Drosophila melanogaster: one gene and its partner. The protein of the gene in region 2 interacts with the protein of the main gene of each other region in a pairwise test. Each region holds a gene or a part of one and is shown on either strand. Other genes may lie near its edges. The genes, in order: CG8004 and CG9393.

Evidence for each region.
Region 1: the proteins of CG9393 (region 2) and CG8004 interact in a two-hybrid assay, tested with the Drosophila melanogaster proteins (2 studies listed by BioGRID).

What each region holds. Positions count from the first base shown.
Region 1 is NT_037436.4:19,926,694-19,935,087, forward strand, and holds CG8004 (uncharacterized protein), read right to left. Parts: upstream 1,816-8,394; 5' UTR 1,745-1,815; coding exon 1,661-1,744; intron 1,588-1,660; coding exon 862-1,587; 3' UTR 501-861; downstream 1-500. Other genes in the region: Grasp65, read left to right, coding at 1-186; RhoGDI, read left to right, coding at 4,138-4,321, 4,395-4,504, 4,570-4,684, 5,289-5,485; CG46462 (uncharacterized protein), read left to right, coding at 5,045-5,149.
Region 2 is NT_033777.3:9,561,083-9,569,974, reverse strand, and holds CG9393 (uncharacterized protein), read left to right. Parts: upstream 1-6,301; 5' UTR 6,302-6,452; coding exon 6,453-6,539; intron 6,540-6,638; coding exon 6,639-6,785; intron 6,786-6,879; coding exon 6,880-7,158; intron 7,159-7,404; coding exon 7,405-7,800; intron 7,801-7,863; coding exon of another isoform or gene 7,864-7,905; exon of another isoform or gene 7,906-7,973; coding exon 7,974-8,048; 3' UTR 8,049-8,392; downstream 8,393-8,892. Other genes in the region: CG16790 (uncharacterized protein), read left to right, coding at 1-326, 388-724; CG16789 (uncharacterized protein), read right to left, coding at 995-1,169, 1,223-1,393, 1,456-2,364, 2,419-3,419, 3,512-3,751; Vps45 (vacuolar protein sorting 45), read right to left, coding at 4,111-5,543, 5,595-5,793, 5,857-5,949; MBD-like (Methyl-CpG binding domain protein-like), read right to left, coding at 8,563-8,892. UniProt on the Drosophila melanogaster protein: Involved in transport of proteins into the mitochondrion. Essential for embryonic development.

The DNA of each region.
Region 1 (8,394 bases), on a different chromosome or scaffold from region 2:
CAGACAGTGCCGTCGTATCCGCAGGTGCAACCCTCCATGGGCGGACTGTTTCCCACGCAGCCAACGCCGTTGCCGCCGCAGATGGCCCATGTGTTTGCACCACCAGTACCACCGCAAGCTGGCGCTGCTCCGGCGGCAGGCAACGACGAACTATCCGGACCGGCAGTGAATCAGGCTGGAAACTAAGACTTCTACTGGGCCAACTGCTAATGGACCAACTGCTAAACCTGGACAAATTGTTAAGCTTTTATTTTCGAGAATCATCTGATTGTTTTGTATGATTGCGTTAGCAAATATCACAAGTGGCGCGATTGGTTCGGCCATCTGCATGCAAAGATGTGTACATTGCATTCATAATAATAATCTAAATTAATTATAACAATAAATCAATAAAACTATATGTGTATTTAAGGTCTTTACATAAACGAGAGTTCAATTTCTTCAAAAGTATGAAAAGGAAAAGGCAGCAATGTTCAAAAATCAAGACTATTTTTTTTTTTGGTTTGCTAAGAAAACAATTTATTTGATGTATTATAGCAAATACTTACACAATTTTATTAGCAGAAAAGTTATTTGCTGCAAAATAAATGAAGTAAAGATCGTTAGAAGTATTTTAGAATTCCATTTAAACAAACTTGCAGATTGAGTCACTTGTGCAAATGATATTCACATGGATTTTTGGACATTAATGGCAGCAAAATCACTAGAACAACTTTTTTTTTTAAATGCTAGTAGCAAAATAATTGTGACTTACGGCGACGATTTGTTTTAAGGGCATTTAGAATTGCATATATAAGCGGTTAAAAAGAAAGGACAAGAGCAACTTAATTGATAAGCATTTAAGGCAACGACTACGTATAACTAATTTGGTAGGCACCTCGTCTGAAAGTACTTCTCATCGACGAAGCGACAGAACTCGACCAAGTGCTGGAACTTCTGCACCGTTTGGGCCAGCGCCATGTTCGGCAGCGTGGTGGTCAGAATGCTGAAGAGGTGGCCGAAGGCGATGGCGTCCAGTTCGCAGGGCTGATCGCCGTAGAAGAATGGCGTTTCCGGCGACTCTTTCAGCTTGTATTCGAGCGTCTCACAGCACTTGGCCACCTTGTCAATGACGCTATCGATGTCCAGGTCGTCCCACTGATAGACCTTCAACAGACGCAGCGCGTTCCGCCGCTTTCCATAGTTCTGCATGTGATTGAGGGGCCAGGGAAAAACGACTCCGTTCCTGGGCGCTGTGACCTCTTTGTAGACGCGTTCGTTCTTGAAGCTAATGTACAGCTCAGCCATGGTGAAGATGTTCTCCACCAGCGACACATAGGTGCGCATGTCGGCCTTCTCGTCCTCGTCCTGCCAGCTGCCAATGGCCAGTTCCTTCTGCTCCACAAAGTTCACGATCGGCTCGAATTCGGCAAAGATGAATGCTCCTGCGCGGATGAAGGGCAACTTGGTCATCCTGCCGCCCGGCGACATGTGCTCCGCGTTGGCACAGGACCGAATCAAAAAGGGGAGGTTGCACATCTTCAGGTAAGCCTTCACAGCAAGGCAACTGGCGTTTTCCGGCAGTAGGATCTGTTCCGCTTCATACGGCTGTTTTTTTTAATGCACATTAATGAAAGGTTAATGTTAGTGAAGATTCTGGACCTATAAACCAGGACCTTACCTGGTAGAGGGTGGCGTCTTCGGGCCAGGGCTCGGCGGACAATTTGTCGGCCGTTATTAGCTGGCTCAGGTACTGGGATGTCATTGTAAATTAACGGAGTAAATTGTGTTTTTCAACTTGCACACCGAAATCGCCGATGAAGTAACAAGCAGCTGTTTGTCGGCGTTGCCAGACTGTTGCAGACAATGACCAAACAGCGATTCTTATTAGAAATTGCATTTCAGCAAGATTCGTTAAACTAATTAATAATTTCTTTTTAAACCCATACTTACAAAGTATAAAATAGATTTAGGGGAAGCTGTTTCAAAACTAAAAACTTTTTCGAAAAGCAAGTATTTTTGGACAGCAGTGTGAACGGATGACTTCTTCAAGTCCATCTCGCGTTTTGGTATTCTGTCCACCAAAGCATACGTTCACACTTGTAATTCTTATTTTATATTATTTGCTTTGTTTAAAAGTTAGTTATCAAAAGTTGTTAAAAATATAACATACAGTTACTTTTCAGTGATTAATTTTCAGAGATCGTACTATTTGATTAATTTCGCATATTAAAAGGTGAGTGCGCGTCGTTGCCAACTTGCAACTGTGTGTGTGTGTGAGTGCGGTGCCTTCCAATGCATTTTACATAAAAAAAATATTTATAATATTATTATATTAATTTAATACAAGCTGGCATTGATAGCAAATGTATGTAGTTGGGTGACTGCAGGCCAAGAACCACTCCCAAAAATTCTACTTGAAAATCAGTGACGATTCATGTGCCGGCCTCAGTGTGAGTGTGTGTGTGTGTGAGCTGGTGTGTGTGATTCATTCGTCTGGGGTTTTAACATTCTTCGTGCACATTTCTTTATCAAAAAAAGAGAAGAAAAAAAAGTGGCATGGTTCGTACTTTTCCCTGAATTATCCCCACACTTTGTCTTTGGCGGGGGGTCCTCTCTCTCTCTCTCTCTCTCTCTCTCTCTGGCAAGCCCTCTCGCTTGCACTTCCTTCGACGCTGGCACATTTGTTTGGAATTCAAATTTTCAGTTCGGTCAGATTGTTCTTGAAATTACCTTTTCTCACCCATCCTTAATTGTTGCGATTGTATTTATTGGCCCAAACTTGCGTTGTTAGTCCGAAAATTTTTTGTTTATTATTTTTTGCCATTCCCACACAAGCACGGAGAGAAATTGTGAGTGCTTTTCATATGCCTAATTTGGAAATATTACGATGAGATCTAAAAACCGATACTAAGATTCAAACTATTGATTTTTAAGCACCAATAATATTTACATTTACAAGTAAAAAACAGATAGATAGATAGATAAATATTTATTAGCTTTGAGAATTTCAAAATATGTTTTGTATAAAATTGAGAAATACATCATTATTACTACTGTATGTACACATGGGCCTGCAAAATCGTTTTGTATAGACACAATTTTATTACCTCAACAACAACTCGATGTCAAGTAATAACAATTCAATTTCATGTATTTTTTTTGCCCGGGTACACTGCATATGTATGTACATATATATAAAGCCAAATCTGGAGAATCGAGAATTATTATTGGCCCAACAACATTCGTTGAAAATGGACAGAGAGCTGGCGACGTGTATTTAGATAGTGGAAAACAAAGCAAGATAACAATAAAGCCATTTTCCGGGGGGCGGTGGGTTTGGCTTTTTGTCGCCAGTTCCCAGTTCTGGTCAATATTATTCAATGCCGATATCCGCTCTCTCTCCCTCCGTCGAGTTCGCCTGCCTTATCTAACTGCCGCTCCGTATTTGGTTGAACCTTTTTTTTTACTTTGCGAGCGGACCAGCTGCAGGTCGAGCGCCCCTCTCTGCCCCGCCCCCTAGACAGAGAACACGTCAGTTCATCAATGCGTTAATAATTGAAATTTAATCAATATTATTGAACGGGCTTATGAAGTGGCTACATTTGTTCGCAACGGAGGCACTCGTGTTGCCAAAAAAGTAAATAAACCCGCTTTATGGCCAGCGAATGATAACGTAATCAGTAGCGAAGTATATGGAATATGTTTGCGATCGTTGTTATTTGAATTTCAATATTTAACATTGTAATTTGTAGAAACAAATGTACTAACTACTCAACTATATATTTAGATGGCAGGTTTTTTTTTCGAATTTCTTCCCTGCATTGTTAAGTTATGAGCTCAACTCTCCTTAGGGCGACAATTTTCAGAAGAAAAAACACTCTTCCTACATTTTTTGAATGAGGAATACTTTCATACACTCCGATACGATGTAGCAGATATGGTGGCGCACATGCCATTAAAATGGAGGCATATACATATGTGTATAAAACAACATCATTATCGTCAAAATGTTACTCACACTACTAAAAATATGCCTATGACCCACAAGCTTCACCCAGAGAAACCGACGCATACTAAGCAAAATCCGAAGCAATATTTAAATGTAATTGATTGATAAACAAACAATTGCCTTTGGACAGTTCTAGGTTAGCAATCATGGCCGAAACAGAGACGAAGCACCATCCCGAGCACCACGACGACGATGTCCACGATGCCAACTACCAGGCGCCGCCGGAGAAGACCATCGAGGAAATAATGGCCGCCGATCAGGAGGATGAGAGCTTGCGGCGCTACAAGGAGGCGCTCCTGGGTGCCGCCCAGACCGAGAAAATTATTGTTGGTAAGGGGCGGTTAACTTGGCCTCTGAAAGTGGAGGGTGCAGAATATACTAAAGCAATAACATTTTTACCCAGAACCCAATGATCCCCGAAAAGTTATTGTAAAGAAACTGGCCCTCGTTGTCGAAGGACGCGACGACATGGAATTGGATCTTACCGGTGACCTTAGTCAGCTGAAAAAGCAGGTAAATATCATTAACCATCATCATCCATTCGACTACTTTTGTTAATCAAAACCCTATTGCGACAGCTTTTTGTGATCAAAGAAGGTGTTCAGTACAAGGTGCGCATTGATTTTATTGTGCAGCGTGAAATAGTCCATGGCCTTAAGTATGTTCAAAAGACTTCTCGCTTGGGTGTTAATGGTGAGTATTTAAACATGACATTTGTATTTTTAATTGGCAGAATATAGAATAGATTTACACTCTCAATTCTATCAACATTATATGTCTTTACTTAGGGCAAAGCAATTATATTTCTTTTTTGTCCTACCCTAATTTTCTATTAATTGATTTATTTATTTACTGACCTAGTGCCCTAGTATTGTAAGAATAAAATTAAATTAAAACCGGGTCAAAAGATACTTGTTTTTAGTTATTTTCCATACGTTACACTATGCGAGCACTTCTAGGTCTTCAATTTTCCGTGCTGACGCGAAATCGTTAGTATTACACCTCAGTTTTTGATTGACTTTTGTGCGGGCTAGTCGAGTTTTGTTTCTAGCAATGGGTAAAAGCTGGTTCAATGGCACAACCATACTGGTGGGATTTTGCAGTGCTGCCTATATCCTTTTTTTCACAATTGCCATACTAACTTTAGTCATGTGTTGAGAATAACTTGTATTCCATTATCTCCAATGCCAAACCCTAATTTCGGAATGTATAATTTTTTAAGTTGTGGGTAAGCTGGTGCAGCCCATCCGCAAATGTGTATCCTTACTAAACTGACTGTTTTCGCATTACTCCATAGTTGACAAGATGAAGCATATGGTTGGCTCCTATCCGCCGAAGAAGGAGATTCAGTTCTATTTGACGCCCGCCGAGGAGGCACCTTCAGGCACATTCTCCCGCGGCACCTACTCGGTCAGTTCGGTCTTCACGGATGACGACAAGCACATACACCTGGAGTGGGACTGGACCTTTGAGATCAAAAAGGACTGGGCCTAATTGGCACACCGAACAGCACACAACAAACACACACGACACACAACTTACAACATACATCATACGCTTTTTGTTTTCCCTCAAACATGCCTTGTAAATGAGTTTAGTTTTGTTCCAAAAGTGTAAGCGAATTTTTCCAAAAGTGTAATTGATCGTCAAGTATTTTTGTTAACGGTATTAAATTTTAAATATTTTTGTAACTAAAGTGTAATGTAAAGCCATGATAAGTATTTTTGATACCCTATTTGCAATTGGAATGTGTGCAGATGAAGAGCATTTTTCGCCTAAGTCCTCCTCAATGAGAGTCAAGTCAAAACCAAGTCAAGTCACTAGGCCAGTCAGTCAGTCAGTCAGCCAACCAGTCAGTCAGACAGTCAGTCGTTTGGTTCTTAATGCCATTGCCTATGTTTAACATACATTTTCAAACAGATTAACAATTGAGTAATTAACTTTAAGAAAGTTGTTTGCATTTCGCTGTGTATTTCAAATTGAAGAATGGAATAGTTTATTGTAAGAACAAGTCGCCTCAAAACTAAAAAGAAACCGATTAAAATCGTGCAACACGAACTGTTAAATGCAACTAAAGCTGATGCTTTATTATGCATTTGAAGTTTGTGCAACATGGAGTTACTTAAATCCACATTATTCTAACTATATATCTCTGTGTATTTTTTGTGTACAACATACCATATATGCGAAAGCTGATTGAATGCAACCGAAGAGCAATAAAGAATAAAGGATACATATTTTAAAATAAATGCCTAAGTGAGCGAATTCTTTTTCCATGATATGGGTATCCCATAAATTATAGTGGCAGTGTGTGCACAGATTTCTCCGTAGCCAAAGATAAGTTGACTTCACACTTTATAATGCTTATCAGCTTACATTGCCAAGGGGCAAACGTCATAAATTGTGGCCAGCAGAGCGAGTATTACTCATCCGCCCTGTGAACGGTCACCAAATATTTTTCAAGGTGTACAAAAGAGAGAATTTGTGAAACACACTTCTCTGTTTACATTCGCAACCAGCAACAAGTGGCCAGCCTCTTGTTGCGCCAGACATTAGCAGCATGTTGCCCAACAATCGCCGCTTCAGAACAGAAAATAATAATAACCGCATTTTATATTCCAACGCACATTTGTCTTCAGAGTCGCGAAAACCTGCATGAATAAGCAAGTTACTTTTTCGGAAATTGCTATAGTTGCCAGCAGAAAAATGGTGTAATTTAAGAAAAACAAATCATTTGTGTTTTCGGTAAATGGCCTGGGGCATTCGTATGTTTTTTGGGGTCCTTTAAGGGTGCGATTTTCCAGGATGTGGAACAAAACAATCAGAAAAATAAGTACACACTGTTTTCATTACGTGAGAAGTAATTACAGGTAAGCAACTAACAAAAACTTACATGTATACATAAGAGAAGTCTTGCTTGTTTCGCCATTTTCATATATTTCCTCATAGCAAAAAATTATATATACTATATCTTTTAATTCACTCAAATGGTTTAGCAGATATATGTCTTTTGGTATGGCCGTTCAGCTCGACTACTCTTAACATTACCTTTGAAATACCAATATTTTTGCATCAAACAGGAACGTCTATCTCTGTCCGTCGAGGATGTTTTGATTGACAGACGGCCCGTCGAATTTCAGCCTTCAATCGCATTGTTCAATCCGACATTCCAACATTCCGCACTCCCCATTGTGTGGCAATGTGGCCTTTTGGCCCAATGCTGCCAATTGTCCCGCCGCTGCACCTTTATGGTCCATTGCATCCGGGCTGGGGCTCAATGAAATTTGCAGCAAAGCTGCTGAGCCAATGGAAAAAACAGGAGCCGTCCAGAATGCGGATAATAAAGTAGAAATGAAATGCAATCAAAGAGCAGGCCAGAAAGCGCAACAGGCAAAGTGCTCACACAGCACACGCAAGCGGAAATGCGAATGGTGGCCATTTTGTCCCCGTGTAGGTAGGCAGTGCTGCTAACGGTACCTTGTTGTTATTTTACACTGAGAGAAATGAATGCTCGCTTAAATCAAATTGTTGAATATTACTATATTCATTATTCATTATGTCTTATGTAATAATACTTATGATATTTAGAAAGAAACTTCATTTGGTTTATTCAAGTGTAAAACCTTTTATATTTTTTAACATTTTTTTAAATAAATAAATTTTGTATTTTTTTTCGAATTCATCCCCATCACTAGCACTAGGATTATTGGCATCTGTTCCACTGGAAAAGCCATGAAATGCAGCTGATGTCAAGCCGCACAGGCATCGCTGTAAAAATGCATATTTAATCTCTACAAATGGCTATATGTATGCACAGCTTTTATAGCCGCTAATGGGATTTATGTGTTTGCATTTATGCAATTTGCCCATTGGCATGATTTTAAAAAATATATATTTAACTGTTTTACATATTCTTATCCTGTTTCTCCTGGTTAACAAGATTTAATAATTTTCACACAGCAAACGGCAAAACGGACAACACAGCATTTGTCCACAAAATATGGCATATACATATGTATATAGTAGTCAAATGTGGCAAAATTAAACTTCCTTTGTTCGAAATTCAATTAATTTCATTTTAGATCTCATGTATGGGCATGCACCTTTATTGAATACCTTTTTGCTTCTATGGCAAGTTTTTGCTAAGCCCATTTAAGCATAATTAAATCCAACAAAGATTTGGCAACTTTTCGGTTTCTGCTGGCCTCTAATTTCATATGCGGGTCAGCACACGGAGCAACGTGCGAAACTTTCATCCTGTTCCCAGCCAAAAGGGGCCAACGTAGCGTATGATGAATTTTATTGCACACTCGCAGTGGGCTGTCTGTGGAAAATATATAGAAAGCACCAAGGGGGGCGGCTATTGTTTTTATTATTACGTTTTCTTCTTATGTCTATATAAA
Region 2 (8,892 bases):
GCAGCCACCCTGCTGGGCCCCAAGAAGCCCAAGCCCGAGGAGTTCGTCGAGGATGTGGTGGATGATCCCGCGGAACATGGCGGCCGCATGCGTAGTTTCAAGCATGAACGGGGAAACTGGGCCACTTACGTCTATGTGCCGGCAACAGCATGTGTTGACCAGCTGGAGGAGTTCCAAACGGAGGCCATTGCTCGTCTGGAGCCACACTTGGAACTGCAGCCGAACGAGTCGCTCCATCTGAGCCTGAGTCGAACAGTGGTGCTGCAGTACCATCAGATCGATGAATTCTCCCGATCCTTGCAAAGCGCCCTCAACAGCTCTGCGGGGTGAGATGTTTAACCAAGTTAAATCTAGTATCTCCCATCCTGATGACCAATCCTCTTTTAGATTCGCCGCCACTTTGCAGGGGCTGCGGATCTACACGAATGAGGAGCGAACCAGGACCTTCATTGCTGCGCCCCTGGACGCTGCATTTGTGGAGAAGATGACTGCCATTCTGCAGCCCATCGACCAAGTGATGCTCGACTACCGGCTGCAACAGTTCTATGATCCGGCCTCGTTCCACGTCAGCCTTCTTTGGTGCGTTGGCGACCAGGAGACACTGCTTAACGAAAAGCTCACGGAGTTAAAAGAGCTCCTTGATGATCAGGACAAACTCTGCCTGGCGGTCAATGAGGTGCACCTAAAGTGCGGCAACAAGGATTTTACCTACTCGTTGAAATAGGATATTGCCAGTCTTTAACTGAATCATAAATATTTATGCATGCTGATCTTTCAATTGGAATGTAGTGGAAAATATATATTGACTTTATTAGGTATCAAAAATGTAATCTGTTCCATATTAGCTCATATATATGAACATATAAATTGTAGTTTGCTAATAAAAGCAAGATTGTAAAGCAAGCCATAGCGTTGAATGAATGGTTACCATTAGCAATCCAAAGATGTTTCCTTACAAATTAGGCTTAAATATAAGAAGTCCAGTGATTACCTTTTAATTAAGACCCTTTTTCTTGTTACCATTTCCCTGCTTGGCCGCCTGCGCCTGCTCCTCCAGTAATCGCTCCTCCTCCAGCTCCAAAAACCGCTGACGACGGCGGCCGAGCGGGGTCTTCGACCACCAGGACTCGAAAGCTTCCTCCTCTTCGCGGTAGACGGGATCTCGTGAGCTGAAAGGCATGGAAACTAACAACTAACTAATTTCATAGCCAAATCTACTTACCACAGAACATTGATCAGTTCGGCATTGGTCAATGGTTGGGTGCGCAGCTGGAGTTTCCGCTTGCAGGTCATCACCTCCTTGAGGCACGCATCGATGGACCCAATGGTATAGCCATCTGATATTTTGGCCATGGCGCTGGTGTCCAGATTGGAAATGCCACCAGAGTAATCGCTGTCGGGGTGCAAACCAAATCAGTAGATTATTTTGCAAATGAATCCCCCACATTTACGCACTGTAACAATGTTTTCCAGGCATGTGACATGGCGCCGTAATCCGGTCGTGGAATATAGATGAACCGATTGTAGACGGATTGCAATAGCTTTTGATCCGCCTCCCAGGGCAGATTGGAAGTGCCAATGAAAACGACGCGATCCTCGGGCGCAATGTTCTTTATCAACTTGGGCAGATCCTTCTTCAGTCGCTTGGGATCTGTGCGATCCGTCTTTGGAATTTTCTTCATGAAGGGCCGCTCCGCATCGCCCATGAATATCACCGCAGGCTGGAGCAGTCGCGACACTTTCAGTACCAGATGGATTAGCATTATCAGTCCCGATTTGCCAGGATACTTGCCAACAATATTGGCAGGAGTCAGATCAAAGAGCACGGCACCCACCTCCGTGCAAATGGCGTGGAGCAGTGCCTTCTTCCCAGATCCTTTGGGGCCAGCTAACAGGATGGAACGTATCAGTGGAGTACAGTTATGTATGGCATCAGATCCCAGTGGAAGGATGCAGTACTCCGTGAGAATCTGGCGAATGTCGCCCGGTGAGGGATTAGTGCCAATCCTGGCAGTCAACGCCTTATCGCCCAGGAATTGCTTTAGCCTTAGCTCCGGGTATTTCCGGATTATGCCATTCGTGACCAGCTCCTCGTACAGCGACTCCGTAGTGCGATCCGGCGTTAGATCCTTCTCCTTCTTCTTTTTGCTCTTCTTGCCGGATCGCCGAGTTTTTTTGCTGCTCTTCTTCACCTTCTTGCCGACGGCCGTTTGGAGCAGCTCGATCTCCTGGCGCATCACATCGTCGACGGCGCGCCGAAATTCTAGCTCCACCTCCTGGTACTTGTCGCTGTAGATCATGTCCTCATAGGCCGCTTGGCTCAGCACACCGGTTTCATCCTTATCACGCCAGGTATCGTTAAACCTGAAGTTGTAAAAAGATTAAATTTGGATCAATTTATTATATATCTTTACTCACAGATCGATCTCCGCACGGATGTCTGGCAGGCAAACGGACGGTGCCGGCTGGAAGCTAACTTCCTCGTCTTGGTTTTCGTTGACGTTGAGGTCACCACTGCGAGCGGGTGACTTGGACTTATCCTTGGTCTTTCGCGACTCCTTGGAGGAGCGGGCCGACGAACGGCTGTGCTCGCTCTCAGTTCCAGGTCTGCTGAAAATATGCAATGAGCCGCCCTGATCCTCGGATGGAAAGTCCGGCAGCTTGCCAGTCTTGTCGTAGCAGTCCTTTACCCAAGCCCGAATCTCATCGGCAATGTCCTCCTTCATGCTGGCTCCGTGCTTGGCCCGAATCTCCTCCTTTAGTGCGTTCTGTCGCTCCTCAAACTCTTTGCCGTAAAACGCTTGCGCCTGGTAGCGCTTCTCGTTGTGTTGCAGCTTCTCCAGCTTCTCGGCTCGTTCCTTAACCACAGCCGGCGGTGGTGGCAGCATTCCGATTAGGATCATCTCCTCCATTTTGCGGCGCCGCGTTATCCGTCGGGCTGTGTGGCCACGCCACATCTTCTGAATCTTCATGGCAGCCAAAAGACCAGAGTCACTGCGCTCCTTTTCGGTGCGCTCCTCCGACTTGCCCTTCTCCTTTAGGATGCGAATCTCCTTCATGAAGTGGGCACGCAAGCGTCCTTGTCGCGCTCGCTCGTGCATTTGAAGCATCCTAATGGCTTCGATCTCGGTGGTAACCGTCTCCTCCAGCTCGTGCTCCTCAAGCCAACCCAGCTTCGTTAGGATCTCATGCATGGTCTTCTTTCGAAACTCTAGCTCCTGCTGACGCTCGCGCAGAAAGTAGCGTGGTATCCTCAGCTCCGTTTCCATGGGCGTCAGGCGCAGGCGTTCCACCACCTCGTCGTTGTAGCTAAATTCCATCAAGTCGATATTTACGAGATCGTGCTTCAGCTCCACCACTCGACCCAGACAGGCGTCTAGTAATTTACGCACCAACTGGCGCTTCTGAGGCTGAATCATCTATGATGAAAGATGAGAAGTAAACCAGAGTCAAAGGATATATCATCTCCTTATATATATCCCACTTTTGTTTAAGAAAGTCGTATACCCACATTATCATAGACATCCTCCAAACGATTGCTCAGACATATGTAGCGCAGATAGAACTCGTACAGACTGGACTGCAGCAAGGCCTTGGCATCCGCATCGGCGGCGACGGATCCGACCGCTGCATTCATGGTGGCCACCGTCGTCTCCACATCCTGGTGCTGCCTCTCATAGTCAATCGTGGATAGAAGCTCGCATTCATGCTGGGATTGGTGCCAGATATCATTGAAATATGTGCTGGACATGATGGTCAATGATACTCCTCCAATGAAAAATCAGATTCTTGTTTGAGCCAAACGAAACGTTGCCTGGGAGTTGCCAAGGAACTTTTTGCCGAAACGGGGTGGAATTATTGCAAGGACAACGAGAGTTTAGTAATTTTGTACACACATAGTTGTATATAATACATTTTGTCCAAGGCGTTGCCTGGTGTTACCCTCGAGAATAACAATAAATATGTTTACATGGTTACGCTTAAAAGGTTAAATAGTCCAATGGATTTGAATTGGTACAATGCATGGAATACCTTAATACATAATGCACATTCATATTTAGTTAATAAATAGTTAACAATATAATTGGGGCTATCTAGTCAAAATAGACTTTAAATGTTATCCGTGGAACAGTACTTGATCATGGATTTGGTGTGCTTAAACTGAATGCCACTAGTGGCGGCCACGACCTCTTGGATAAAACTCTGCGAGTTATGGATGGTGGTGCCGCCAAGAATGACTTTATAGCCGGCGTTGTTTAACTGGTGCACCGCTAAGGCTTCCTCGTACGTGGCACCGCCAATAATGAACACGACAACCTCCTGCGGTGGTCGTCGAAATGGCACAAGCTCTGAATTGATGGCCGGGAAGAGGGGATCCAGCTCGCGGCCCTTAAACACGTCCTCCAAAGTTTCCTTCAGGAGAGGAGTGTGCTGTGTGAAGACATTTTCCACACCCTTAAGGCCCTTAATCAAATTCCGTGTCAGCTTTACGGCGTCCGTTATCCGCACCATATTGAAGAGATCTCCTTGTCGTACATGGGTTCCAGCATACTCAATCAACGATGGCACTATAGCCGCTCGTCCACCGCGCGTTTTGATTATTTGCAGCAGTCCAGATGTGTCGCAGTTGGCGTGTCGCTCGTATCGCAATGCATAAAGTGCCACCAACTTAAGAGCATCATCGATGGAAACCCGTTCGTCGGCAATTAGTTTTTTGATTCTCTGCAGCTGGGCCGAGTGCTCCGCCTTGCAAGCGATCTCCTGTTCAAGTTCGGAAACCTCGAAGAGATTCCTCTTGTTGCTCAGCGCCGACAGTTCTCCAATCACACACAAATGCTTTTGCACAGTGCCAGACATTTTTTTAAACTGCGGATATGACTCAATAAAGTTCTTCATGTCTGCTATGCTCTCCACTTTCTTGTGGTCGTTCGCCTTGCGCTGGAACTCCTCCATCAGTTGTTTGATGGTAGATCCGATTTCGCCGTAGTTGGCGTACATGTTGTTGCCATAGAAGTCATCCTGATCACCGGATAAGACCAGCTCCTTGAAGTCTTTCGGCACATTGGGGCAATTGGACAGGTCCAATCGATTGTTTTTTATGTGCAGCAACTCATGCACCATGGCCTGGTATGTCCACTGATGCAAAAGCGGCGTCACAGGATCGTCCCTGCGGTCCAGCACAAGCAGCAGCGGTGGCGCAGCGCCATCCATGTTGGAGCGAAAGTCGAATAGCGAGGACTCTTTTGTGATTTGCTCGTATATGAGCTTGGCCAGAAGCTGCGCTGCCTGAGAACCGGCTCGGTACCGGATCACTGGGTTCAGCTTAAGGGACAACAGCACGGCTGTGATGCCCTGCATGCTGCGGTTGAGAGCGTCCGGCAGCCAATTAAGATTCGCCATGCAATTGGGAATGCCTAATGAGAACAGATTGGGGTTGACGCACAGGTAGTCTGCATACAGTTCCTTCACTTCTCGCACCGATTCGGATTCGTCGCACTCTGCCAAGTATTTAATGTCCGTCCGGGGAATGATGTTGCTGAAATCTATTTATGAGTTTAGTACTATTCCGAAGGTGCTTCTACTGACCCACTTACAAATGTAGTAGGCGCTGTATTTGGGGTTCCGCAACTCGTTGGCCAGTAGCTGGATGTTCTGCTTGGTGGGGCGTATAAAGACGATGCATTTTAGATACTTTAACCGCTCGTTGGATCTTCCCGAGTCCAGGCGCTCAAATAGGTACACCTCCCGTTGCAGCATGTCCGATTGGCTAAAGGCCATCGAAATTATACTGGTCTGCGAATGATGTGAATTTTTGATCATATGGCAGGGGATTTGATTGTCAGTCCTTGCACTTACCGTCTCCTTGTCCAGCAGAATGATTTTCATGCCCGGTCCCGACTCGGAGCACATTTTCTCGATGTACAACTTAATGCCGCTTATCAGATTCATGACTGCTAACTAATTTACTGCGAAAATCAGAAATTAATGTTTTTTTTCGCAAACAGATGGGTTGGAGATGCCCCAATTGCGATAGCTCCGTGATAACAGCGGTGACCAAACATTTGGGTAACATTCGCTAGATCTAGCTAATGTAAAATAATGTGAATATGTAAAAATGCATATAGATAAAAACTTACAATTTTTTGGTAGTATAATAAAAATAGCAATAAAGATAAACATAAATAGCAATTAAGCTCAAACATAATTCCGTATCTTTTCATTAGCCAAAATAAACTTCGAGTAGCAACATCCCTGGCCGGCAATCGATAAAGCGCCGATATGCTCGAGCGATATATCGAGTGCCCAGTAGTTATCAGTCTGAAGCACTCGCAGCAGTCGGCCAGAAATTCTGGCATATATTTTTGGATTCAAATTCGGATGGCTGATATGCAGGTGGACTGTTGAAAACCGGCTAAATACAAGAGTACGAGCAAAGCATAGACTAGGACACAATGGAGATGCAACTGGGAGCCATGCTGTATGTGTACAAGGGGGAGTACGGACTGCCGTCCATAGATTTTGAATGTTTACGTGCTCTGGTAAGTTCCGTTGCATCACACGGCGGCCAGCACGCCTGTTTTGCCCATTATCGCAGATGATGAAAGAAACTGATGAAAGCGCCTCTTTGCCGGAAACAGTGCCTCCTGCGATTCACCCGCTGCCCCATGGACGTGCAGACCAGCTCCAATCCGCTGCGTTCGGGAGCCGGGAAGCTGCCGTATCTGCAGATCGGCAACCAGAAGTTCGCGGGCTATAGGCAAATTAAGCGCGTGCTGGATCTCGAGGTGAGTGAGCAAAACAATGCCGGGGTGAACAAACTGCAGGCTCTATTTATAGATATGTGTTTTTTTATGGGCTTAATTCGACGTATTCTTTCAGGGTTACCCGATAGATGCGCATTTAAGCACTAAACAAAAGCATTTGTCCACCGCCTACGCCAACTGGGTGTTCACCAATCTGCATGCCTACTACCACTACTTCCTGTTTGGAGAGCCTCACAATTTTGACACAACCACGCGGGGCCTCTACGCCAAGCGCACGCCATTCCCCTTCAACTTCTACTACCCGTCGTCCTACCAAAGGGAAGCCTGCGACGTGGTTCAGGTGATGGCCGGTTTCGATGTGAACGACAAGTTGGACAAGCACGAAGGCGACTACGTGAGTGCTTTCAATTTCATATTGTCTCATATTACATTATTGTATCTTTAAATCCGAGGATTTTTTAATTTGTTTATCTAACCTATGTTTTACACCCAAGCTGCATTTCGATTGGAAACGTTTCATCAGTTTATATTAATAAGAAACAGTTTCTCATGTATTGGTCTTTTGTTATCAATATATCTTATCAATGTTGTGAAAAGCAAGACGTTTCTTTAACTATCAATTAATCATTTTACTTTACAGCTCGTTGTCAATGCCAAAAAAGTGGTGAACCTGCTCTCCCGGAAATTGGGTCGCAAGGTGTGGTTCTTTGGCGACACCTACAGCGAGTTTGATGCCATTGTCTACAGCTATCTTGCCATCATCTTTAAGATCGCACTGCCTAACAATCCACTGCAGAATCACATTAAGGGCTGCCAAAACCTAGTGAACTTTATCAACCGCATCACGAAGGACATATTCCGCATCGAGGGATACAGTTCCGTCAAGCTCACAAAGACACCCAGTGGCACGGAGGCCAGTCTGACGGCCTCGGAGCGCAAGTTCCTAGACTCCGAGCTGAACACCAAAATAGTAGCCGGCGTGGGAGCCGTCTTGGCCATGGGAGCGTTTGCGGCATGGCGTGGGATTTACAACCAGGTGGGTATTTTTGGCTGAAATTTGTAGTTCTTTACTCTTGACTTGATGGAGCTTATTCGATAGTTCTGGTTCAATGTCTTCTGTTGGCTCCAGACACTCTTGTAGACAGCCTCAGCTTGAGCACGTGCAAAATTCTCAGTTAATTGCAAATTCCGATTGATTCATCCTTGCAGCTAACGACACGCTCTTCGACGGACTACGATGGCATAGATTACGAGGATGACGAGATGGAGGAGGGCCTAGACTAATCGCATCTCTGCAACGATATCTATGTGTATAGTATATATATTTTAAAATACAATGTGGGGATGAAGCACAAAAACTGTCCAGCTTTAAAGGTTTACCTAAACACTGAAGGAGATCGATTTACTTGGCCATAAATCTTTGGACCGAAAATTTCGTCAGGTAATGATCCCCTCGTCGTAGATAACGCTTCGTTCCAAGGATTTGCCAAACAAATCGACTAAGTATGAAAATTCGGTTTATGTATTATAGTTCGAATTCGTTTTTAAACTGTCTTGTATAAAATAGCATTTTAAAGTCATCTGAGCGTAATAAAATTGGATAACAGAGCCCTGTTGTCATGGAAAAGACAAGCGAAGCTTTCTCGATGTCCAATAAGAAACCAGAATTCCTCGATTGGAGTTGGATTTGGTTTATTACACACTAGTCTTAAATGTAGATTTCGAATAGGGGTCAATACGATAGAGATGTTAGAGCCTACAATGGAATTGGTAGATGCATGGGGGTTAACCATTGAACTCATGTCTTGAGTGCATCCTGCAGCTTTCGCCGCGCAACTCCGACCCGATCCTCCTGTTTGCGTATGTCGTCCTCCGAAATGATCACCGCGTGCATTAGCGGTTGTTCAGGATTCATAAACGCCATGGCATTCTTGGTCAAATCAGCCTTCGTAGAACTCTGGCCGTGTACGCCGGCGTTGAGCATATGCAGGGCCGTGGCCACCGACTGGAGGACGGTCTGTTCGTTGACATTGGGGCCAACGGTGCGTATGGTCTTGGGCAGTGAGATGTCGTCTAGCTCCTCGCCACTGTCGTGGCAGGCGCGTAGTCGTTCCAGTCGCTTCTCCCA